Solanum lycopersicum: one gene and its partner. The protein of the gene in region 1 interacts with the protein of each later gene in a pairwise test. Links are inferred from orthologs where the notes say so. Each region holds a gene or a part of one and is shown on either strand. Other genes may lie near its edges. The genes, in order: SOS1 and SOS2.

Region 1 (13,231 bases):
ACAAATATAAAATGTTTTACCTATCAAACTATCTATAATTAGTGATTCTATTGTGTTTGAAGGAGGAGGTGATAAAAAGAGAAGAATGTGTGGAAAAATTGTGTATCCATTTGGGCTAGTGAAGCCCGGAGGGCAAGAAGGAGACGTGACATTAAATGACATTAACGAGAGGATTCTAATGAGGCCGACCCGGCCCGTAAGGCATCCGGTTGGGGACTTTGCATGTCGTTCGACCGTATGCCCTGCTGGACCAGGATTATCCGGCAAGACGGTGGTTGCACTCACCAAAATTCATACTCAAGGGAGGGGGACAATCACAATTATAAGGACTCGAGGGTGATTGGAGAGGACGTACCACCTAGGTAGCTAGCTAGGGTCTATTTCGAGGTATGTAGGATCAGATAGGAAGGTAAAACTAAAAGAGAATATGTATCTTTATATTCTATCTTTTGCTCATTTGATTGATGAAATAGGTTGAGAAAAATGATTGTAACGTTTCAAAATGGAAAGACCTGGCAGCTCGTTTCGCCCTTGTTGATATTCTTTGTAGTTATTCAATGAGAATTAAAGAGTGTATGATATATGATATGAATATATATATGGATGCAAGTGGATGTATAGATTCTATGTTTATTACTGAAAATTAGGATGAAAAATGTTTTGCTTTTAAAATTATATTTCTGACAATTTGAAGATTCTTAAAGTACTATTTTGAGTTATAAAGGGATCTTGTTTGTACGTACGTAGTTAAGCAGAATAATGGACTGAACAAAGGTCCTAATAATAATCCAAAAATGTTACTCTAGTTTTAAATTATGTTCTAAAGTGTGATATAGGAGTATCCTTTATATGTCTATAATTTTTTTAAAATTTATGGATTTAAATGTGTTATAATATTTGTGTAACTATAAAAAAAAAATTAATTCTCCTACGTTAAAGTTTGGGATAATTTCACTTTTACTCCCTCAAGTACGTTCTGATACCACAATATAAAAATTCTGTGATATCTCAGACTATATTTAGAATTACAATATCCTAAAATATGTAGTAGTAGTAATATCAATCTGACAATTGATTTGCTTATATCTCATTAAATTTGTGAAGATCCATAGTAAGAGAGATGAGAAAAGGTACGCACTATGATCATGTTGACAATTAACAAATCAATATGATCAAATAATTAGTGTTAGGTCTATTTTTTGAAAAAGAATTAATAAGTGTTAGGTTATAAGGAAAAAAATACTTAGGAGGAAAGCAACGCATGTGGCTAAAGTGAACTATCTCTTTGACTATATTGCATCCTAAAGGCTTAGTATAATAAGTTGAAATTAGTAAAGGGGAAAAAAGAAAAAGAAAAAAAGGAAAGAAGTTCATTTATTAAAGAAAAAAAATAAAGAGAAAAAAAAAGGTAAAGGTTGATAAAAAAAAAATTACATTTTTTATATTTAATAACTCCATAATTATAATATAATTCAATTTCGCCTTACCCCTCTTAACATTTAAGATTTGAGCAGGAAAAGATATTCTTCAATTAAAAAAATCAAATAATTATCACCGATTATTTTTAAGAAATTAAAATAATCTTTTTTTTAAAGCAAATAATTTTTAGTGATAATTATTTTCCAGACTTTTAAAGTTATATTTTTAATCTAGTGATCAAATCAAAGGTGATTTTTTTTATATTTATCTAAATCATGGTTAATGAAAAAATAATAGTTAAATTAGTTGAGAGGCATAAAATCACTTATAACAAACATACTAATGATGTCTTGATGAGATAAAAGTAAAGTTAATATAACTAGTAAGTGACATTGTCAAACTTTCTTTTTGATACATGTTTGCACTTATGTTACTTTTATTTCACTAAAACTAAGAAAATATAATATTGTTGGTGGAAGGTCCATAGTCTATAGTCCATAAATTTTAAATATAGGACAAATTAAAATGAGTAGCTATCATAGGAGGCACATGTTACCATATAATAAGTTTCATAAAAAAAGGACCATTTCCCATAACACTTTGTGAAGGACAAATCATTATATGTAACAATTGGTATAAAAACAAGATTTGGTTAAAAAAAAGGAAAATCATCACCCTATGTTTAAAGTTTAATTATATGTAGGACCCTAATTAATTAATCATTAGTGTAATGTGCATGATTTTATGTTTTAATTTGAAATTAATCTATTAATTACTAATAGGTTGGTGAGGTGGAATTCTAGACTATGTATGACCTTGTTTGAAAACTATGGGAGAAAGAAAGGGATAAGATATGGAAAATATTTGAGATTGACTATTTACAAAGGGTGTATTGTTACAATAAATGTGATTATTATTAGAGGTAGAATGTTATTATAAAAAAAAATATAATATAAAAAATTGATTTCGAAAGAAACTTGTTTCGTTAGTGAAATGTTACGGTATTTCGATTATAAAAATTCTATTTAAATTTTAAATTAGTTTAAGTTAATTTATATTTTTACTTTTTACTGACTCTTTTCAAAAGCGAGAATATCTGGTGAATCAAAAATAATTAATTAGTTTCTTTTTATTATATGGTAAAGTTTATTTAAATTAAAAGTTTGTCTATAGTAGGCGTATATTTTAATTTAAACTTAATAATTATGGCAGGCATATTTTATAGCTGTATGACAAACTAAACAAAAATATCTATTTTTTTTGTCTTTTCTGGAACAATTATACATTAGATTAGACCTGGTTATTTGACATTTTTGGGCACAACTTTTTTTAATAATTATTTAATTATAGTAGGTATGAATAATTTTATAAGTTAGATATGCTTAAGTGGAAAATCTGATAGCTAGTAGATGATTTTTTCAACAAATAATATTATCATCTGTTAATTATTTCATTAAGGACATAATATTATGAGAAACTTTCCATAATAGCTATATTTTTGTTCGTTATTCTGAATATAAATATAATATTTAATACAGTGCATTAACTGTCTCTTCTCCTAAGGATCTAAACAAAAAAACTTTTTACTTCTCAAGACTATCTTCTTTCATTCTCATTTGTAAAAATATTATTATTATTATTATTATTATTATTATACCTTTTAGATTTATTTCTGAAATGAGTTAATGACTTTTTGAGATTATTGCTCAGCCTTAAACAGAGTTTTTGATTTGACTTTCCATAAAAAGTATAGTTCCTCACTTCAATAAAGAAATTATAAGTCAGGAGGTCAGATCTCCAAATATTATGTAATTCTATAGAATATTATTTTTCTTCTTAAGAATTTATACAAGTGTAAAAAGTATAATTAATCCACTTATTTATTTTACAAAATAATACACTTAAAATATTTTCCTTCGTTTTTACTTGTTTATAATAATTCTACACATTTTTTATGATAAAATTAAGATTGTGCCTAGTTCCAGAAATATCATAATTAATATGAAACGGAGAAAGCAAAAGAGATACAAAGTGAAATATTTCGATATACACACAAATACAATGGAAGTAGGAAAATACTTTGAAATTCAAGTATTACAGTTACTTTTATTACATGAATTTATTTAGAGAGAAAATAAAGGAAAAGACAAGTAGCCAAAAGAGTAAAAGAAAAAGAAAGATTATTATTAAAGCAAAGAGGAAAAAAGGAGGAGGAAGAGATAATAAATAAACCTAGATATATGTGAGAATATTATCCCTCTACCTTTTGCTTTTTCTCAAATCCCAAATGAATAGAGAATTAGATTCTCATTCAGATATATAATATACAATAAAAATATACACTTTATATTGTGATTTGTGTCCTTAGGATTTCAATTAATTTTTAATTTTTCTATTAAAAAAATATTGATGACGTCAAAAGAATGCAGTTTTCACATCATTTTATGATATAAAATCCCATGAAATGGACTTGGATGGGATATAACAACATATTCAAATATGTATCTGGTGTAAATTCAAGTGTGATTTAGAGATGATGAGACATATGCAAACCCTAGCTTATATCTATCATCGTGGAGTATATAGGTTGTTTTCAGTAGTTCATCGGTTTTTTAAAAAAATTATTCATATATATAGAAGGATTGTCAGAAGAAAAAATGACAATAAAATATGATCAAAATTCAAAGTAAAATGAAGCAATAGATAATAGAAATATATATATGAATAAGAAACTATGTGATACTATATACAACTATTACTAAAAAGAAAAGGACCCCATTCTTATCTCACCCACCTAATAAATGACCATACTCGTTACCTACTAACCATTTATATTAACTTTTGATTGTCGTTGTACCTCTCTATCTAAGGACGAGTACTCAGTTAGTGGTGTGTCTCCTATTAAATCATCTTCACTAAAATTTTTGTAGGTCCATCTCTACCTCTTCTAACTATTGCTACGACCAACCTCTCACACCTTTTAATTGACAGATTTATGCACCTCCTTTTTTTACATATCTGAACTATTTAATCCTCACTTTTCTCTATCTTGTTCACCCTCAACTCCTCAAGCATTATACTAAAGGATGATACAACAACACTACTTCTAACAAATTAATGTATACATCGATTCGTTAGTGTTGAGCCCAATATATTTCTATCTTGTTCACCCTCAACTCCTCAAGCATTATACTTGGATCTTAGGGTGCTTGTATTAGGAGAGATAGAGGTAGGTCGAAGAAATTTTGGGGAGAGATGATTAGACAGAGTATGTCATATTTATAACTTATCAAGGAATGGGGATGAAACCCTAAATAGAAAATATAAAGATTGAGGATTAAAGTAAAATATTAATTGATAATTAGATAGTTGTGTTTCAATAAGAGTTTAATGGAGTTGTAAGTACTTCTTCATCCTTAACCAAAAGGTGTCGGGCTTGTGTACGGAGTCACCTTTATTAGGAAGGGCTTCACCCCCCAATATGGGACTTTTTGATGCGAATTCAGATTTAATCAGACTCCAATATGGATAATGAATACCGAGCGAGAAACAACAACAAAAAAATAATAGGTAGTCCAAGTGTTGTCTAATAGTTCCCTTTATCAATATTATATTATTATTACTCTCCTACTTCTTAGTATGACATGTTGTTTTCATTGTTTGAGTGATCATATTTTTTGTTGTTTACTACTGCTCTTTTTCCACCTGACATCTTTACTACCGTATATAACACTATAATTCAACAAAACAAGACAATTATATACTTGAGAGTAGCTGTTCAGAAATTAGGAGATTACAGCTTTTAGTCACAATAAAAAGCTATCAATCTTATTAAACAGGATCAATAGAATGTTGGCTTTTTCTTCAGAGAAAGATTGTACATTATACATTTTGGACATCTATGTAGAAGAGCTTCTCTGGAAATAAAAATTTGAGACCATCATATATAAGTGAGTTCATAACTTCCTCAATACAAAGCAGCGCTTCTTTTTCGCAATACATTATTCAAATGAACTTGTTTTAGAACAATATATGCTACTTTATTCAAACATAAAACGATACATAAATCAATGTTCATAGTAGTATTCACATAATCACAGTGTGGAAAGGCTCAGTCTGCCTATGATGTTTTATCTTCCTCTGCGATCCATTGAGGAAAGCTTGGTCTTCCCGAATCAATTCTGATGAGGTGCTCATCCTCGCCACCAGAATCATCACTCGAGTACTCTCTTGTGTCACTTTCTTCAATTGGTGCGCTTGGAAGTTGTATACTCATATCTTTATTCTCTCCTTGCACTTGAGCCTTCTTTCGCAATGTGGTAGATCCTTCAGATCTAACAGAAACAAGTGTTTGTACACCATCTGATCGAACCTCTGGATATGACTGACTGTGAGAGGTTTTGGCTGCACTAATTCCAGGAAAACTTCTCGAACGACTTCTTGTGTCGCTTATCTAATAACCAAAAAAGAGCAAGTAAGCCAATATCGAAAACTGGTGATTTCAACTCGATGATGAATAAGACAAGAACGGGATAGATGTGAGTGAAGGGGTGGGTGGAGGAATGGGATAGATGTGAGTGAGTAGGAGAAATCATAATGACTAAACACATAAACAGACCCTTAAACTTGGCACGAGTTTTCATTTTAACACTTCCACTATAGATGAACATTTTATATTTATGTTATCAAAAATGTTGTCTATCAAACACAAACTCGTTAGCTCCAAAACCAAAAAGGTACAAGGACATGGCATGCTCCGTCAAACAGTAAATAGAATTCCGGCCTAATCGACACACTGTTTTGAGCAGTTGCTCTATTCCCCAAAGCCTAACATTTAAGTAAACTTTGTTATGGGCCAAAGAAATTGTGAAATAAATTTTCCTACTAACCATGCTTCCGAAGATGTTTAGCTGCATTGCGCGGGTAGACATATTGGTTTCCTGTTGACCAGTTCGTTCCACATCCTGTCTATGTTGCATAGCCTTATAAGTATTTTCTGGCCAGCTCATTAAACCACCAAGCTCTCTACTAAAAGACCTTGAGGGATGATCAATTGAGTGAGATAATAGCGAAGATGATCTTCTCTGGAGACCCCTGCCTGATAGAAATCCCGCAATATCAAACATAATCACCCTTGCCCTTGTCTCAACTTGATACTGAGAAGGTTGATGAGAAAAACTAGCAGCATGGACACCTAATATTGAACCAAAAAAATAAATAAATACAAATTAATCAGAATTATCTGAGATGAGGCTATAGATCAGAGAGGATTTATGCAAATAATCGAAGTTGCAAGTACTATCAATTTCTGAAGCAAAAAATATTAATTGAATATATGCCAACCTTAAGAGAGAATAAAATTGTCAGCATACCACAAATTTTTTTGTTTTTAACAGTCGTGTAAGTTTATAATCAAAGACCATATGGGAGGTAGTATAAACAGGTGTTGTCAAAGGCGCACTTAAGTCCTGAAGCGAGGCTCAAACATGTTAAGAGTGTTTTTCCTCGCTTAATGTGCGGTGTTAGTATCGTCATCAAGGTCTTTCCTGAAGAGGCAACGAGCATTTCCTGAAGAGGCAAGCAACACTGCACAATTGATATATCACTTCACCGTTATCTTTTTTCAGTTTCCTGTCCATATATTTGTTGTTTGTACTTACAATTATTAGTCTTGGTCTAAAATAAATATATTTGTATTCTTTCTCTTTTTGCACCCTTTTTCATGAAAGCTGGCGCTTTATTTGCACTTTAAGCGCCGATAGAATTTAGAGCTTTTTTGCGCTTCTCGCTTCTAATAACACTTAGTATAACCAATATTTCAGCTGTCCCCTAATTACAAAGAGTGGGATACTGAAATACTGCAGCTAAAGGGGTGAGAAGCAACCTGATGCTTCTGTGTTGTGGAAGCTTTGTTGTTCCAATGCCAAAGGCAGTAACGGTGCAGGAGCTGAAAGAAGCCCTTCATGTGAACCATGAGATTTAACAAATCCCTCCAACAGAAAACCAATGGAATGGTGAGGCAATTCAAAACTTTCCCCTCTTATGTATATGCTCATAGTTGACCTTTCTGCAACCAGAGTTCTCATATCTTGCATTTTTGTCGTTTCAAACATTTGAGGAAGCAAGACTTTGGCAAGCACAAGTGCACTTTCCTGCAGATAACAAGATATTTTGTGTGAGTCACTGCTTCAAAAAAACCTTATATTCTAGTTACTACCTCTATTCCATTTAATGTGGCACTCTTCCCTCAGATGGGATCTTTCTATATTGGGAAGCAGTTTAATTTTGTAGAGACAGAAATGCAAACAGCAGAAACAACAAAGCCTTGGAGTATCGTTGAAGACCATTCAAGGTGATATATTTTTCTTCTGATAGGTAAAGCAAAAAAGGCAACTTTTCTGAAACACTTTCACTCAATCGGAGCAATTCTAGACCTTAGTATAATTAAGTCCTTCCTTGCTGAGATGTACTTGAGTTCTTACTTTTCTTTTGTGTTAAAAGATAGCGGAGGAACCATGCAAAATATGGTGAGAAAGTTTTCTTTTTTTTAAAAAAAACTTGCAGTATGGTAAGAAAGTCAATGTTAGGGACCCAAAATCTCCTCTTGTGTCTTAACTCAGAATACTCTTTCAGTAGTTGAAGAACTCTGCTATTTCTCACTATACTGATAATGACGAGAAAGCTGTGTTAAGCATAGACATATGTATGTATGGAAGCCAAAAGAAAAGTTGAAAATGATAATCATTCAAAATACCTGCCAAAAGAAATCTTCTACAGCTGGATCAGATCTGAGAGCAGTAAGTATCCTCTCATTATCAACAGAAAAGCAGAGAGCCACGGAATCCGTTATAATGTCACAGATGTAAGGCTTTCCCACCAGCACTTCATATAAACCTAGAGTACTCCCATGTGAAAAAGTTGGATGCAGTAGATGAATATTACTTGTGCTCTTACTTGACCACTATCAAACACGATATCATATTGTCAGAAAGATGTTTTTGGCTAAAAAGTTATTATTGTAATAACCATTACATTACTAATTACCTTCACTACACCATTTGAAATAAGCCAAACTCTAGTTGCCTTTGATCCCTCTTCATAGAGGGTTGCACCACGTAACTTCATTATCTCCTTGGTTGAACCAATTAGTGTCTCACGCACCGTAGGGGGTAGAGCTCCCAACAAAGGATTGACACTAATCAAATCACGAATTTTCGGAAATTTAACCAGAGGTGGATTTCTTACAAGCCTTTTCAAATCAGTCTGCACAAAATACATCATGTATGAAATCAGATGTAAGACAAAAGCAATGAAATTGGACTAGCAGATAAGAATCAAATGCTCACCTGGACAGCATCGTGAAGATGTGCCATCTCTTTTTCCTCCAATATACCAATCTTCTCAAGATTATGGACATAATCAATCAAGTGATTCAACACCGCATAAGTAACTTGTCTGGTTTTCACAACTCGGAGAACCTGAGTATGTACTTTCTTTTATAACCAAATAAAATTACTCAAAAAGCAGACTGGATATTGTCAACACATAAAGTTCATTTATACGTTGCAGAAACCAGACAGCTGTATTCTTGATTTCAAAATATAATGACCATGATTCAAGCATGCAGAAAGCTGGCAAAAAAATGCAGGTAGCATAAATTTCTTGTACTACCAGGCTGCACCCTCTAGTATTTTTATTCAACATGTTTCAGTCTAGCAGGAAATATTGAGCTCATTGAGAGAGATTTGTCTTTGTATACCTGAGGAAATGAGACACGGACTTCTTCCAGAAACTTCCGTGCATCCTCTCCTTCTTCCTCGCTTTCCTTGATAACAAGGGAAGCAATTTCACTCTCACCTGAAATCATCATTGCCTGCATAAGAAACTTCCAACTCCAATACATATCATTCTTTTTCTTTATTTTTTCTCTCCTGTAAGGATTTCACTGCTGAGAAAGCTTCCTCATAAAGAGAATAAAAACAAAAAAGCCACAAAAGTGGTGCTAAAGTTGAGGCATTCATTAGGTAGCATAAGAAAAGGTTCTTGGTAAAATATTTTCCTTTTCTCCCTTCTCTTGGGAAGAGAACACATAAGAGAAAAAAATGTAATAATAGTAGCTTTTTAGCCCAATGTGCAACCTTTATCAGTCATTACTACCAACAGCATAAAGATAAACACAAGGATACCACCTGATGGAAGCTTTTTCACTCCTATCACGCCAGATATCTATAGTTTTCAACATTTCTTAGTACTATCTTCACCTTATGCCTTATAGACCATCACGCACCTTAAAATATAGAAGAATGCGTCACTTGAATGCAATAGTTCAACTTCAACACAATTGTAGGAAGTCACAATCTAAAGAAGTCAATCCTCAGATTATTGTTTATCGAGCAAACTGAACAATTGAGAAATTTCATATCAAAGACCTAATCAGTAGTCTTCATCAACAAAAAAAGGTTAGGAAAACCACCATAAGAATTGACGTCGTTAAACTATTCAAGCTGACTATCTAATCTTTAAATGCAAAAAGACTTTTTGGCCAATGGAAAAGGCTTTGTTATGTTCAGCTAAAATGTCTCAGCATTCAACCTTCGCCACTGATAATTTGTAGGCAGAAAGAAATGGTCCAACCAAAGATGAGCAGGGGAAGTCAAACATAATCGAAAAGAATCATAACACGCTGGAAAGGATGTGCCAAAAAGATGCTATATAGAAATCATTACTAGTTACTTACCGATAAATTCATTTAGTTGCTGTCGGGCAGTTCTATGCGCCCGGAGAAATCCAGCACAGATATAGCATGCAGACTCTAACCTCTCAACAGTGAAATATGTAACAAGCTTCCGGTGGACAAAACTTGTTTGAAGAAACTTGTAATAATTTGGGATATTAACATAAGATTTTAAACCCTTCCAATCACATAAGGGCTCATGCGATACTACGTCATTTGCTTCCTCCACAGATTGCATTAGAAGATTCGCTATAGTTTGTGGGATCCTGCCCTCATTGAGCATTTCCCAGTATGCTGCTTGAACACCTGGAAACATAATTTCACTTTTAACAATCAAATTTGAATATCATGATCAATGGAAGAGCAAGAATTTTCACTAGGATAGACAAAATATAAGGTTTTCTACTGTACAGATGAACACTGCATAGAGTCACCTATGAGTGACGCTCTACTCCATATACACTGTACTGATGGAAGGTAATTTGGTGTGTTAGTGGTCATATGATCGATTGCATAAGTGAAACAGCAATTATTGAGGAAAATGACCTAGAAGTTACAGAACAGATCACAAACAAGATGAACTATAAATTGAGAATGTAATGTTCTCACCATTTAGCAGGCGGATCCGAATATCTTCTAAATGCATATGGTCCACATTATCATCATTTCCAGATGAGGTATGAGGATGCACTGGTTCACCCTCCACATCATTTAGGCTAGTAATATATCTTTTAACAGTTGGCCAGTCAGCAGGTCCTAGTTCCTCATCATCTCCAAGATCACCAAATGCTTCCAGAGCTTTATTCAACATCTCATATTTTGTGTAGTTCAATATGCGCTTCTGCAATGAGATGAACTATGTTATTTATAGAATCTATTGAAGAAGATTTAAAATATAAAGCTACAAATAACAGGACTTTACTTGCTTATCTAAGCATCTACTGTTCAACACGAAAGGTTAGTGTTTCATTTAAAAAAGTAATTGACTAATTGAACTACTTACTTTAGTTATCCAAGTGATACCATCTCTCTTTTAATTCATTATGCCCCCCCTCCCTGTTTTCCAAGCATATAGATTTCCTTATCATGTCAGAGGCAGAGGTCTTCCATCTCATCCTGCCATCATAGGATTTGGTCTTTGAACAGTTCTGAAATGTGAAGGTAATATCCTTTTCTTTTTATGATAAGGAGGTAAAGTGATTTCTTTTCATATTTTTGCTTAAATTCAATATCATGTAGTGTTTTTTTAGGTCAGTTAGAGAAAAGCAGTCGGTCCATAAAAGATACAAATTCTGCTATGCAGGGCATATTCCAATTTCCGAGGAGCTGACAAATTTGATTGCCATCAACGGCAAACCACATAAAGAAACAGTTCAGGCAGCAAACATGGTTAACTGATGATAGATGAGCTAGCATAAATGGGGTTAGATGAATAGTTATTTATTCCATTTGTCACCCATTTTACGTAGTTGAAAAATGGGTTGGATATAAAAACGTCTTCCTAGACCACCCATTTACTCCATTAACATCCCTTAAAGAAATCGAAAACCATTGGGGAAAAAAAACCATTTTTCCACCTCTAAAGCTCCAACAAGGACAAAATAGTACCACGTCGAAATCAACTCTACCTTTGCTGCTGATAGCTTATCCATTCCCAGATAATGTAAAGCAAACTGTGTGGTTGAACCGTTGATGATGAGCGTCAAAAATACAACCCCACCAGTCAAGAAAACAAACTGCAACAGAAGAAGGCCTGTATGACTAGAAAGGTACAGCTAAAAGATAATTAAGTATAGAAAACTTCAAACTTGTTGCATTTCCCACTAACACTTCTTTTCTTCTACTTACCAGAGTTCCAGTATCAGAACTGATGTATTGGGAGCCATCACTGGAACGCTGAAAACAGCCAGGAAGGAATAGTGTCATAAACAAAGGCACACTTAGGTAAGAATTTTTTGCAGAATGAATGAGAGGGCTTGGAGAGATCAAGCACCCGCACATAGTTACCTTGACTGACAATGAAAGGGACAACGCTACAGCACCTCGAAGGCCACCCCAGACAAGAATAAAAGCCTCTTTCAAGTCCAAACCATAGCCAAAGTATCGTAAAAATGGATACAATACACCAACTACAACGGCCCGTGAGACAAGGATAAGCACATAAAGAAGGATGAGGTAGCCCCACGAATTATCTGAAATACATTAAAAAGCATTTAGCAGAGATGTAGTTTAACTAGAATGGAAGTTGAACTGAGTGTAGAAGACTATCATTTGAAATAGAACAGAAACTAGCCGTCCCCACATACATATAAACAATCATAATACTCGTGTAAATAGAGAGGCCAAAAGAGAAAGGCACAAACTACAAAAATTGGGCAAAGTAAAAAATATAAAATCCAATCATGGCGCTTTTTTTTTCTGGCTGGATATTGTGTTTTAGCAGGAAGTAATTTGGTGTTTTGGAAGAGCAGAAACAGAATGTGGTTGCTCAATCTAGTGCAGTAGCATAAGATCAAGCAATGATTATAGCAACTTGTAGCTAGTTTGGATAATACAATTGCTTACAGAATTGCAATTTGGAGAAATTGTTCAGATGGAACTTGGAACTTGTGTGTGATAATCCAGCGACCCTTCATATTGCATCACATCTACTGTTCTATGAAATGACTAAACACATAGATATTGATTATCACTTCATCAGAGAATAGATACTATCAGGAGATATTGTTAACAAATTTGTGAAATCAAATGATCAGCTTGCAAATATTTTCACAAAGCCACTCACTGGTCTTCGCATTAGTCACATCTGTTATATGTTTGGTACATGCGACTGATATGCACTGGCTTGAGGGGAAGTACAGATGGTTAGTGTATATATTAGACTTTGTGTCCCATACTGAAAATCTGTATTATACACTATATGTGAAGTATGGATAAAGATAAGGCTCAATGTAAAACAATTATTTACACACATTCACATAAACTCTTTCCCGTGTCATATTTCTCACAAGTAGCACCAACAGCTCCTTCACTTATTTAATGTCCGCTAACTCTTAGTCGGAAGACACTTCAAGTAGT
Region 2 (11,985 bases), on another chromosome or scaffold:
TGTGCACTATAGAACACCAAAAATCGACAAAAATGAGAGGTTTACCTGCTTCGGGGCTCATTTGACTTTCAAAATGAGTTGTTTTAGCCGTTAGGGCAAACCAGCTCTACAGATAACGTCTTAATGAACGTTTATGAAAACTTTAAGTTAAAAGAGACATCAGAATTCCGGGTCACAAAAAATTCATGGACTATAGTACACGAAAATCGGTAAAATAGATAGATAACGTCTTAACGGATGTCCACAAAAATTTGGGCAAAAAATAAGTTAGAATTTCATATCACCAAAAATTCATGGATTATATTACACGAAAATTGGCAAAATGGTGTTTACCTGCTTCAGGGCTTGTTTGACCTTAAAAATTGATCGTTTTAGTCGTCAAACCCAAATGACTCCATAGCTAATGTTCTAATGGACGTCCACGAAAAATTTGGCAAAATTTTGACGTCAGAATTCTGGATCACCTAAAATTTATGGACACACGTAAATCTGCAAAATAGGGTTTTACCTGCACTGGGGCTCGTTGACCCTGAAAATATGCCATTATGGCCTTCAGGATAAACTGGATGCATGATTAACATCTTGATAAGCTTCCAAAAAAATTGGGTAAAAAAGAAGTCGGGATTTTGGATCACCAAAAATTCATGGACCATAGCACAAGAAAATTGACAAAATTGGGGGTTTACCTTCGTTGGGGCTCGTTTGACCTTCAAAAGGGGACATTATGGCGGTCAGGGACAACTAACTCCACACCTAACATCTGAATGGCCATCCACAAAAAATTTGGACGATAGAAACGTTAGAATTCTAGATCACTAAAAAAATTATGGACTATAGCACACAAAAGTTGGTAAAATGAGGGGTTTACCTGCTTTAGGGCTCGATTGACCTTCTAATGGGTTGTTTTGGCCGTTAGGGACAAATGGTAAATGGATGTCCATAAAAATTTGGTCAAAAAATATGTCGAAATCTCTTATCACCAAAAATCCTTAAACTAGCACACAAAAATTGACAAAATGGAATCTACCTGCTTTGGGGCTCGTTTGACATTAACTATGGGTCGTTTTAGCTGTCAGTGTCAACTGACTCCATAGCTAACGTCTTAATGGACGTACACAAAAAATTTGATCACCAAAAAACGATCGTGGACGATCTCACACGAAAATAGGCAAAATGAAGGGTTTATCTGCTCTAGGACTCGTTTGACCTTCAAAATGGGTCATTTTATTCGTTAGAGCCAATTGGCTTAATAGATAATGTTTTAATGGACGTCCATGAAAAGTTTGGGCAAAAAAGACGTTGAAATTTCGGATCATTAAAAATTCATGGACTAAAGTACACAAAAATTGGCAAAATGGTGTTTACCTGCTTCGGGGCTCGTTTGATCTTGAAAATTGATTGTTTTACTTGTCAGGGCAATTTGAATCCATAGTTAACGTTTAAATGGACTTTCACAAAAAATTTAGGCAAAAAAGACATCACCTAAAATCCATGGACTACATTACACGCAAATTGGCAAAATGGGGGTTTACCTGATCCGGGGATCGTTAACCTTGAAAATGTGCCACTATGGCCGTCAGAGCCAACTGGATTCATAGTTAACATCTTAATAAACTTCCACGAAAAAATTTAGAAAAAAGAAGTCGAAATTTTGAATCACAAAAAATTTATGGACCATAGCACACGAAAATCAGCAAAATTAGGGATTTACCTTCTCCGAGGGCTTTATTTAACATTCAAAATGAGTCATTATGCCCGTCACGGACAACTGGATCCACACCTAACATCTTAATGGACATCCACAAAAATTTGGGCATTAAAAATAATAGAATTCTGGATCACCAAAGAAGATTGTGGACTATAGCATACGAAAATCGATAAAAATAATGGGTTTACCTGCTTTGGGACTCGTTTGACCTTTTAATAGGTTGTTTTGGTCGTCACGGCCAACCAGATTCATAAATAACGTCTTAACGGATGTCTATAAAAATTTGAACAAAAAATACGTAGGAATCTCATGTCACCAATAATCCATGGACTATATCACACGAAAATTGGCAAAATGAGGTTTACCTGCTTTGGGGCTCGTTTGACATTGAAAATGAGTCGTTTTAGCCTTCAGAACATCTGGCTCCATAGCTAATGTCTTAACGGACGTACATAAAAGATTTGGGTAAAGAAGACGTCACTATTCTGGATCACCAAAAATTCATGGACTATAGCACACGAAAATCGATAAAGTAAGGGGTTTACCTGCTCTGGGGCTCATTTGACCTTCAAAATGGGCCGGTTTGACCGTCAGAGCCAACTATTTCCATAGTTAACGTCTTAAGGGGCATCCACAAAAATTTTGGGTAAAAAAGATATCAGAATTCTGGATCACCAAAAAAGATCATGGACTATAGCCCACGAAAATTGGTAACATGAGGGGTATACCTGCTTTTGTGCTCGTTTGACATTTAAAATGGGTTTTTTTGGCCGTCAGAGCCAATTTGCTCCACTAGAAAACGTCTTAACGGACTTTCAGGGAAAATTTAAGCAAAAAAGACGTCGAAATTCTGGATCATAAAAAATTCATAGACTATAGTACACGAAAATTGGAAAAATAGGAGGTTTACCTTCTCCAAGACTCGTTTGACCTTCAAAATGGGTTATTTGGACCGTCAAGGCCAACTAGCTCCATAGCTAACGTCTTAACAGACATCCACAAAAAATAAGGGTAACAAAGACATCAAAATTGTGGATCACCAAAAAATACCATGAACTATATAGCACATGAAAATCTACAGAATGGGGGATTTACCAGCTCTAGGCTTGTTAGACCATAAAAATGGGTCGTTTTGGCCATTGTGGTCAAGTGACTCCATAGCTAACGTCTTAAAGGACGTTTAAAAAATCTTTTGACAAAAAGACGCCAGAATTCTGGATCACCAAAAAAGATTGTGGACTATAACACATGAAAATCTGCAAAATGAGGGGTTTACATGCTCTGGGGCTCGTTTGACCTTTAAAATTGGTCGTTTTGACCGTTAGGGCCAACTATCTCCCTAGATAACGTCTTAGCGGACGTCCACAAATAAGACATCAAATTTCTGAATCACCGAAAATCCATGGACTGCTTCGGGGCTCGTTTGACCTTTAAAATGGATCATTTTGACCGTTAGGGCTAATGGATCCATATGTAACATCTTAACAAATGACCACAAAAAATTTGGGCAAAAAAGACATCGAAATTATATATCATCAAAAATACATGGACTAGCACATGAATATCGACCAAATGGATAGTTTACCTGCTCCGAGACTCGTTTGACTTTCAAAATGGGTACTTTTGACTGTTAGGGCCAACTAGCTCCATAGATAACGTCTTAACGGACGTCTTAAAGACGTTGAAATTCTGGATTACCAAAAAAATTGTGGGCAATAACATACAAAAATTGACGAAACAAGAGATTTTATCTTCTCCAGGACCCGTTTGACCTTCAAAATAGCCCGTTTTGGCCTTCATGACCAACTGCTCCATAGATAACGTCTTAATGGACATCCACAAAAAAGTTTGGCAAAAAAGACGTCGAAGTTCTTGATCACCAAAAATCCTTAGACTATAGTACACGAAAAATCGGTAAAATGGGGTTTACCTGCATCGAAGCTTGTTTGACCTTGAAAATAAGTTGTTTTGTCCATGAAGGCTAACATGATCCATAGTTAACATATTAATGGACGTCCACGAAAAAATTTGACAAAAAAGACTTCGAAATTCTGGATCACCAAAAATCGATGGACTATAGCACACAAAAATGGAAAAATCGGTGGTTTACCTGCTCTGAGCTCGTTTGACCTTTAAAATAATTTGTTTTGACTGTTAAGACAAACTTGTACCATAACTAACGTGCTAACAAATGTCTACAATAAATTTGGGCAAAAGAGACGTCGAAATTCTAGGTCACCAAAAAGGAATGTGGATTATAGCACACAAAAATCGGTAAAATGATCGGTTACCTGCTCTGGGGCTCGTTTGACCTTCAAAATGAGTCATTTTGGATGTCAAGGCCAACTGGATCCATAGATAACATCTTAACAGACGTCCATGAATTATTTGGGCAAAAACTACGACCGAATTCTGAATCACCCAAAATCCATTGACAATAGTACACGAAAATTGGCAAAATGAGATTTACTTGCTTCAGGGCTCGTTTGACCTTAAAAATTAGTTGTTTGACCATCAGGGCCAACGTACTCCATATCTAACGTTTAACGAACTTCCACGAAAAACTAGGGCAAAAAAGACGTTAGAGTTCTGGATTACCAAAAATTCATAGACTATAGCATACAAAAATTGGCAAAACGGGGATTTACATGCTCCGTGACTTATTTGACCTTCAAAATGGGTTGTTATGACCGTCAGGTCCAATTGGCTCAATAGCTATCGTCTTAAAGGACCTCCACAAAAAAATTAGCTAACAAAGACATCAAAATTCTGGATCACCAAAAAAGATCGTGGACTATAGCACTAAAAAATCGGCAAAATAAGGGATTTACCAGCTCTGAGGCTCGTTTGATCATCAAAATGGATCGTTTTGGCCGTCAGACCAACTCGTTCCATATATGACGTCTTAACGGACGTCCAAAAAAAGTTTGGGCAAAAAAGACATCGCAATTCTGGATCACCGAAAAATCCATGGACTATAGTACACAAAAATCGACAAAATAAAGTTTACTTTGAAAATGAGTTGTTTTGATTGTCAGGGTCAATTGGCTCTATAATGATGTATTAACGTATGTCCTAAAAAAAATTAGACAAAAAAGACGTTGGAATTTCGGATTAAAAATCGATAAAATTAGGGGTTTACCTACTCCGCGGCTCGTTTGACCTTCAAAATGGATCGGTTTGGCCGTGTTGGCCAATTGGCTCCATATCTAACGTCTTAAAGGACTTCCACAAAAAATTTGAGGATAAAAATCATTGGAACTCTAGATCACCAAAAAAGATCGTGAACTATAGCACACAAAAATCGACAAAACAGGGGGATTTATATGCTCTGGGGCTCGTTTCACCTTCAAAATGGATTGTATTAGTCGTAAAGGCCAACTAGCTCCATAGGTAACATCTTAATAGACGTCTATGAAAACTTTTGACAAAAAAAGATGTTAGAATTCTGGATTATTAAATATCTATGGACTATAGTACACATAAATCAACAAAATGGGGCTTACCTAATTCGGGGCTCGTAAATTGGTCATTTTGGTCGTCAGGGCAATCTGATTCCGTAGCTAACGTCTTAACGGACGTCCACTAAAAATTTTGGCAAAAAAGATGTCGGAATTTTGAATCACCAAAAACTCATTGACTATAACACACAAAAATCAGCAAAAATGAGGGTTTCCCTGCCCGGGGCTCGTTGGACCTTGAAAATGAAGCGTTTTGGTTGTCTGGTCCAACTGGGTCCATAACTAAGGTATCAACGGACTTCCGTGAAAAATTTCAAAAAAAATATCGTCGGAACTTTTTATCACCAAAAAAGATGGTGAACTATAAGACATAAAAATCGGCAAAATCGGAGGTTTACCTGCTCTGGAGCTCGTTTGACCTTGAAAATGGGTCATTTTTGCCGTCAGGGTCAACTGAATCCATAGCTAAGGTCTGAAAAATTTCAGCAAAAATGACATTGGAATCGGATCACCATAAATTCATGGACTATATCACACGAAAATCGATAAAATTGGGGATTTACCTACTCCGGAGCCCGATTAAACTTAAAAATGGGTCATTTTGGTCGTCTGGGCCAATTGGATCCATAACTAAGGTCTTATCAGACGTCCATGAATATTTTTGGCAAATATGATATCGGAATTTTGAATCACTAAAAATTCTTGCACAATAGCACATAAAAATCAGGAAAATGGGGGATTAACCTTCTCCGGGACTTGTTTGACCTTGAAAATTGATCATTTTGACCGTCTTGGACAACTCGATCCGTAGCTAAGGTATTAACGGACGTCCATGAAGAATTTTGAAAGAAAAAAAAACAATATGTAGGTTTAGAACTGTGGGACTTTGCTCTTTAATTAACCTTTAGTTAATTAAGTTTAAAATTAAAAGATATTATAATAGGCATTCTATCAAAAAATACACTAAAACCTACGCAAGCACTCGTATTAAATGTTTAAGATCAAACAATATGGCAATAAGGTTTTACATTCTTGACTTCTTGGTGAAGAATTGAAGTGCTTCTTTGCAAACACGTTTGCAATAAAGAAATATTCTACTAATAGTATACTTTGAGGTGATAATTTATTTTTTTTTTTAAAAATGAAAACTAACTGTACCGATACCAAAGAGAAACCGATATTATTGGGATGGTTTTGAAAAGTCTAGTTTTGGTTATACATTATATAATATCCGAAAAATTGGTTACAACTGATCGAACCGTCTCATTTACAACCCTACTTGTATTGCTTTTGAGCCCATGATTTATCACTTAAGATATGTAGTGAACAAAAGATTAACAACATGCAGTTACACACACTATACCTAACACAACGAACGTCTTCGGAGCACATCAAATTGATAAGTGATTCACTTCATTCCCAGAAATCTGGTTCAGCGAGTCCTTGTCCTAAGCAGAACAGCATTTGACATGCCTTCCTTCGGTTTCCAAATGACGTCGTCAATTTTCGTGCAGAAGGTTTTGTAGAACTGCAAATGCACATAACGTCATTTTCGTGCAGAAGCTAAATATAAGTATGTAATGCAAGCTATAGTGAAAAAAAAAAAATCAGTCAAAGTTGAGTGTAGAAGCAACCTTGTGATATTCAAGAGTGTCCCCAGCAGCCTTTCTAACATCAACCATAAAAAGGGAAGGGGCTACTTGGAAAACCTTCACAAATTATAGAAAGAGTGGTCAAATGAAAATAAGAAACACCGATCTTAAGATGAATCGGTTTATTAAGTTTAAAGTTACCTCCAGCACAACAGCAAATTGACCAGCCCTATTTGCCGTTACCCCCTCAATTCTTGTCTGCAATGAGAAGAGTGGTTCAATAAATCAATTCCCACTCAATAACGAGAAACTTACCCAGGGTATTCTCGTTTAAGAACACGATAGAATTACCATTAGTTTGTATCCAGTGACAAAAAGGAGTGGTACTCCTCGCTCTGTGTTATAAAATTATAGATCTGCCCCTAGTTCCAAGATGTTTGCATCTTAAGCAACAGATAAATTTACAACCATCATTCATTCAGTGTTAAGCAAAATGCGACTAAAGCTTATGTGGCACAGTTACGATTTTGCTCCTTATAAAGAGCAGGAAAAATTGAAGGGGTGAATTCCTCCTGTATATTCCATTTTCTTTGATGTTGAAAGGAAATTGCTGTTTAATAGATTGTGGGAAAAGGGTAAAAAAAAATGCTGAAAATTACAGTTGATCCAATGGGAAACTGATTATTTAGTTACAACAATGCTTCATTCTGATTGAATTCAAATTTGAATAAAAGAGAATCATTTGTCCCTGAATATGGAGAGTTAGAAATATACCTTGTAATCGCGTGTGTGGACCTTAAGACCCAACGACTCTGCAGCTGCTTCAATAGTTTCAATGACGACTTTAGCAGGTTGGCGGGAAATAAATCGAGTTTGACGCTTGACATAATCCTGTAAGAATGAGAGAGGAAATTACTCTTTGTTATAAGAAGGAAGTTGTCAAAACCTTAATAGCAAAGAGACAACCTACTACACATGTCAGCATTTTTAAATTTGTAGAAACATAAATAACTCAATCATTAAAAATATAAGCTATTCAGATCATATCTGACACTTTTTTTTTTAAACGAAAAAATAATCGCGACGTATTTGATCTAAAATTAGATTTAGAAAAGTTGATATTATGTAGCATTGGCTCTGAGCCACTTGACTACAAGGAAAAAGGAGAAAAAAAAGAGGCCAAAAATAGTGAGAGATAAATTAACGTGCTTCTATATAAGAGCATGCTAACTAAAAATTCAAGGAAGAATCAATTTACATATCCCATCAGATTCTCTTCCTTATCCAAGAAACGAAAAGCTTACAAGAAGAAGCGGGAGAAAGAGATAAAACAGATGACGTTGTGATGAATTAAAATCTGGAAACGTCGGGTATGGTTTATTTTTTGGTCCATGAACTAAATTAATCATTGTACCTGACGTCTGTCAAACAAAGCGGATAGATTTAATCCCTGAGATAGTGTTATCATCTCAAATGCATTCATTACCAAGGGACCACTCTCACTATCTTCTGATTTTTCACTGACAAATGCATCCTGCACATAAAAATAGAACATATCAAACCTATAATGGGTGAGAACATCGAAGTATCAGGCCAATCACTTCAGTTAATCTAAATCCAGAGTACAATTTATCTTAAACTTGATCACTTCCTCACACAGACATACTAGTTAGCATACTAGAAGACGAATGTGAAAAGATTCAACCTCAATGTCGTCGAACACAGCATGGATATCATCAAGATTCACTACTTCATCTGCTTTAGCTTTAACAGCTCTGTAGTTTTTCCGGAACCAAGGGTCTCGTTTTATTCCATCAATCTTGATCCTCTGCATGTACATGGTTCTGAGTAAATCACTATGAAAACACTAAAAGGACTTTTGTACATGTTATGCTGAAGTTTCACAAATTAACCAAGAAAGAGGGAATGAGAAAAGGAACACTTATACTGAACAAAAGCAAAGAATGAGCAGAAGGCATGCTTAAGGCATTTCTCACATTTAAAATGACCTCAAAAAGGATTTCTATAACCAATCCGGGAAATTTGGAAGGAATTTAATCCATGTTACGGGGCTTCTCATATTTCATCATGAGGGATTTGTTTTTCCAGTACAACTTTAATGTTATAAGCTTATAGTAGATTGAATAATTAAGTGACAAATAGGCAATCGGACACCATAGTTTTCAGGGTTGAAAATATAGTGCACTTACAGTTTGAGGATTTGGATCAATGATTTTTTGAATCAACGATGTTGCACCAGGAGAAAACCAAAATGGACAGGAAAATTCAGCAGCCTTGATCTGTGTCAATATTAAAAGCAATAAGAAATTTGTGCAGAACAAACCATAACATTTAACATATAGTAAGCCACACATAGAGCAAACAATAACTTTAACATATAGCAAGCCGTGTACAAGTAATGTCAAGTTCTTTTAAAGCCCCAATTAATCTAATAAAAAACAAACAAAAAACAAATAATGGTAATAATAAAAAACACAAGGAGGAAACTCATGCAGATGAAGATGAAATTAAAAATACGGAACAATATTTTTTATGAGAGCAGTGTGGTCGATGCCAAGTGAAAGAGAGCTTATCCTTCACACAAAGGTCAGAGAGCTGAATAAATATATCAATCAACTCATTACACCTCAATCCTAATCAGAAATGAATAATATACATATGAGAAAAGAACAAATATTGTCCCTCATATGACCTATGATCCTTAGCATTTGTCACTATATAAGAAGAAAAAGAGAATCATTTGACAGAATTATCTATGCTTCCATTTAACACATTACAAATGCATGATGACTGCATCTAACCTTTGTATACAAGGTAGGAAGGTCTGTCTCATCAAATGGAAGATATCCTGCCATCAGAACATAAAGGATGATACCACATGACCACACATCCGCAGCAGCACCATCATAACCTCGGTTACCTAACACCTGAAGAAGTAACTAAGAGTAATAAGCCAGCTACCACAGAAAGAGTCCAAACACATTCGAATATAAGAAAACATAGTAAGCAAATTAACATATGTTCAGCAATTGACATAGTTCAGACAAATTCAACTTGATGCAAACCTCTTATATTAAACAATTCAGCACAAGGTTATGATGTTACCCAAAGAAAGGTAACTGACAGTTACTGCAATGATTTGAAGGTATATTACTACAGAGCTCATGGAAGGGAAATAAATTCTGATTCTCTCTCATTTGATGACTAATCAAAAGCCAATTGATCATGCTAGGTAAAAGGGATAGCAATGAATTAAAATGAAAGACAACCACCCCTCTGCTTCGCTTCTTTCTGATTCAAGCTCCTTGCAGATAAAACAAATACACACGGTGCTTATTATTGTGGACATCATTGAGGATGTATGAGGAATGGGAAAATAGATAAGAGGACCTAAGTTTCTAATCAATGAACCTGAAAGTCGGAGCTAGCACGGCAGAATCAAACAATACTCAGTGACATATTAATGATATAACTTAAATCTAGGCAGAACCAAACAATAAGTATAGCTGGTGCAAGTTACATATTAATGATAAGAAACTGTCATGAATAAATTCAGGCCAAACACGTGGAAATTCTTCTTAATTTTGGGTGGTGGTGAGATTCGATCTCAAGACCTCTGCTTGGCACTGATACCATGTTGAAGTGTGTGACCATCTCATCTAAAAGCTTAAGGTGTTAGAGAGAGTACATTTTTTATTACTCAATTATATTCTCAACAAAGGGTTTTGGGATAGCAAGCCAATCAAATGAAGAATGAAGGGTTGCATGTACAAAACAAGAAGAACATTCAAAATATATATGCATCATACCTCAGGTGCAACATAATTTGGAGTCCCACAAGTGGTATAGAGGAGCTCGACTCCCTGTTAGAGATTTGAGTAAATTCCCATTTAGAAGCTCTAATGAACAAGGAAAGAAACAAAAATAGATATACAATCTAATGCAACTAACATCAGATGTTGCTTACTTGTTGAGGCAATGCACTAAGCCCAAAGTCAGAAATTTTTAAGTTCCCTTGGAAATCAAGAAGCAAATTTTCAGGCTGGGGAACAAGGAGCAATAGTTAAAAGATTAAGATATATAATTTTCACAAAATATCTCTTCCAATCAGCAATTGCGAACCTTCAAATCTCTGTGGTAAACACCCTTGCTGTGACAGTGAGCAATTGCATCTATGAGTTCTTGGAAGTATCTCCTTGCTTCATCCTCAGAAAGCCTACCTAGATGAACCTATAAATTGAACGAATATAGAATTGAAGAGACAGATACATTACTAAATCTTGAAAATCAAACCTTGATAACTCATAGGGAGAAGGACAAAATAAACCATAAAGGGTTAAAGCTCCATGAGCTGAAGTAAACTAGTAAAGACGCAAGTGCCTAATTGGAAACTGGACTACTATCAATGAACCAGCTTATACCTAAGTAACCCAACAATTTATATGTTTGATGAGGATGAGATTTAGTTGATCAGAACCAGGCTGGATCATGCATTTCATACCAACTATTCAGGAATACTGAAAAAAATGTACAAAGTTCATAAGCGAAAATAATCCTTCTCGATAGAGTTCATCTCTGACAGAGAAAAACTGATTTAAAGCTAAATCGTCACTGACAAATTAAGCATTTCCGATCACTATCTTGTGCTTAAATAAGACTGGTAACACCTATCCAGAGGAACCTCTTGATCAGATGGAATTTTTGACTTACTAGAAGGTAACTCAACACACTCTTAACTGCTTTGAGAGTAAAGAAAATGATCTCCAAGCTCTCCACATAAAAAGCATGGACTGGAATTACTTTATCCAAATACAGAATGTCTTTTTCTACGGATATCTCAGCATGCCTCTATTTTTCAAATATAAAAAAGAGATATCTCGGTCATGCCTCTATTTCTCATTATACAGATTACTCCACCAGACTATTGCTTTGTGAATATTGTATAGGATGCACCAAAGATATCTGCTGCTCACTCCATTATCTACTTCCCCATCCTCCATAAGTATCTTGACCCAAACTACAGCTCATCCTAATAAATGAAGATTATCACTTCATAGAAATTCGTCATGGGCACACATCTTAGTTGCAACAATGTCTCAATCGTGCCTCTATTTTCATTTACAGATTACCTTCCTAGTCATTATCAGATGGAGAGTTATCCATCATCACATACAAGGAACAAGAAGTCTGCAAGAGTTATTGA

Evidence for each region.
Region 2: the proteins of SOS1 (region 1) and SOS2 interact in binary tests that used the Arabidopsis thaliana proteins (3 or more experiments, as listed by UniProt). The link is inferred for Solanum lycopersicum from reciprocal best matches to the Arabidopsis thaliana genes SOS1 and SOS2.

What each region holds. Positions count from the first base shown.
Region 1 is NC_090800.1:384,077-397,307, forward strand, and holds the end of SOS1 (plasmalemma Na+/H+ antiporter), read right to left. Parts: intron 12,346-13,231; coding exon 12,161-12,345; intron 12,050-12,160; coding exon 12,002-12,049; intron 11,890-12,001; coding exon 11,782-11,889; intron 10,995-11,781; coding exon 10,763-10,994; intron 10,460-10,762; coding exon 10,157-10,459; intron 9,277-10,156; coding exon 9,179-9,276; intron 8,898-9,178; coding exon 8,766-8,897; intron 8,683-8,765; coding exon 8,464-8,682; intron 8,381-8,463; coding exon 8,174-8,380; intron 7,572-8,173; coding exon 7,304-7,571; intron 6,614-7,303; coding exon 6,309-6,613; intron 5,873-6,308; coding exon 5,540-5,872; 3' UTR 5,339-5,539; downstream 1-5,338. Other genes in the region: protein XRI1-like, read left to right, coding at 63-340. UniProt on the Arabidopsis thaliana protein: Acts in electroneutral exchange of protons for cations such as Na(+) or Li(+) across plasma membrane. Involved in Na(+) and K(+) homeostasis.
Region 2 is NC_090811.1:3,241,515-3,253,499, forward strand, and holds the end of SOS2 (calcineurin B-like interacting protein kinase), read right to left. Parts: intron 11,013-11,985; coding exon 10,905-11,012; intron 10,825-10,904; coding exon 10,750-10,824; intron 10,646-10,749; coding exon 10,592-10,645; intron 9,710-10,591; coding exon 9,584-9,709; intron 9,062-9,583; coding exon 8,972-9,061; intron 8,590-8,971; coding exon 8,467-8,589; intron 8,296-8,466; coding exon 8,176-8,295; intron 7,653-8,175; coding exon 7,536-7,652; intron 7,020-7,535; coding exon 6,963-7,019; intron 6,879-6,962; coding exon 6,804-6,878; intron 6,698-6,803; coding exon 6,602-6,697; 3' UTR 6,362-6,601; downstream 1-6,361. UniProt on the Arabidopsis thaliana protein: Involved in the regulatory pathway for the control of intracellular Na(+) and K(+) homeostasis and salt tolerance.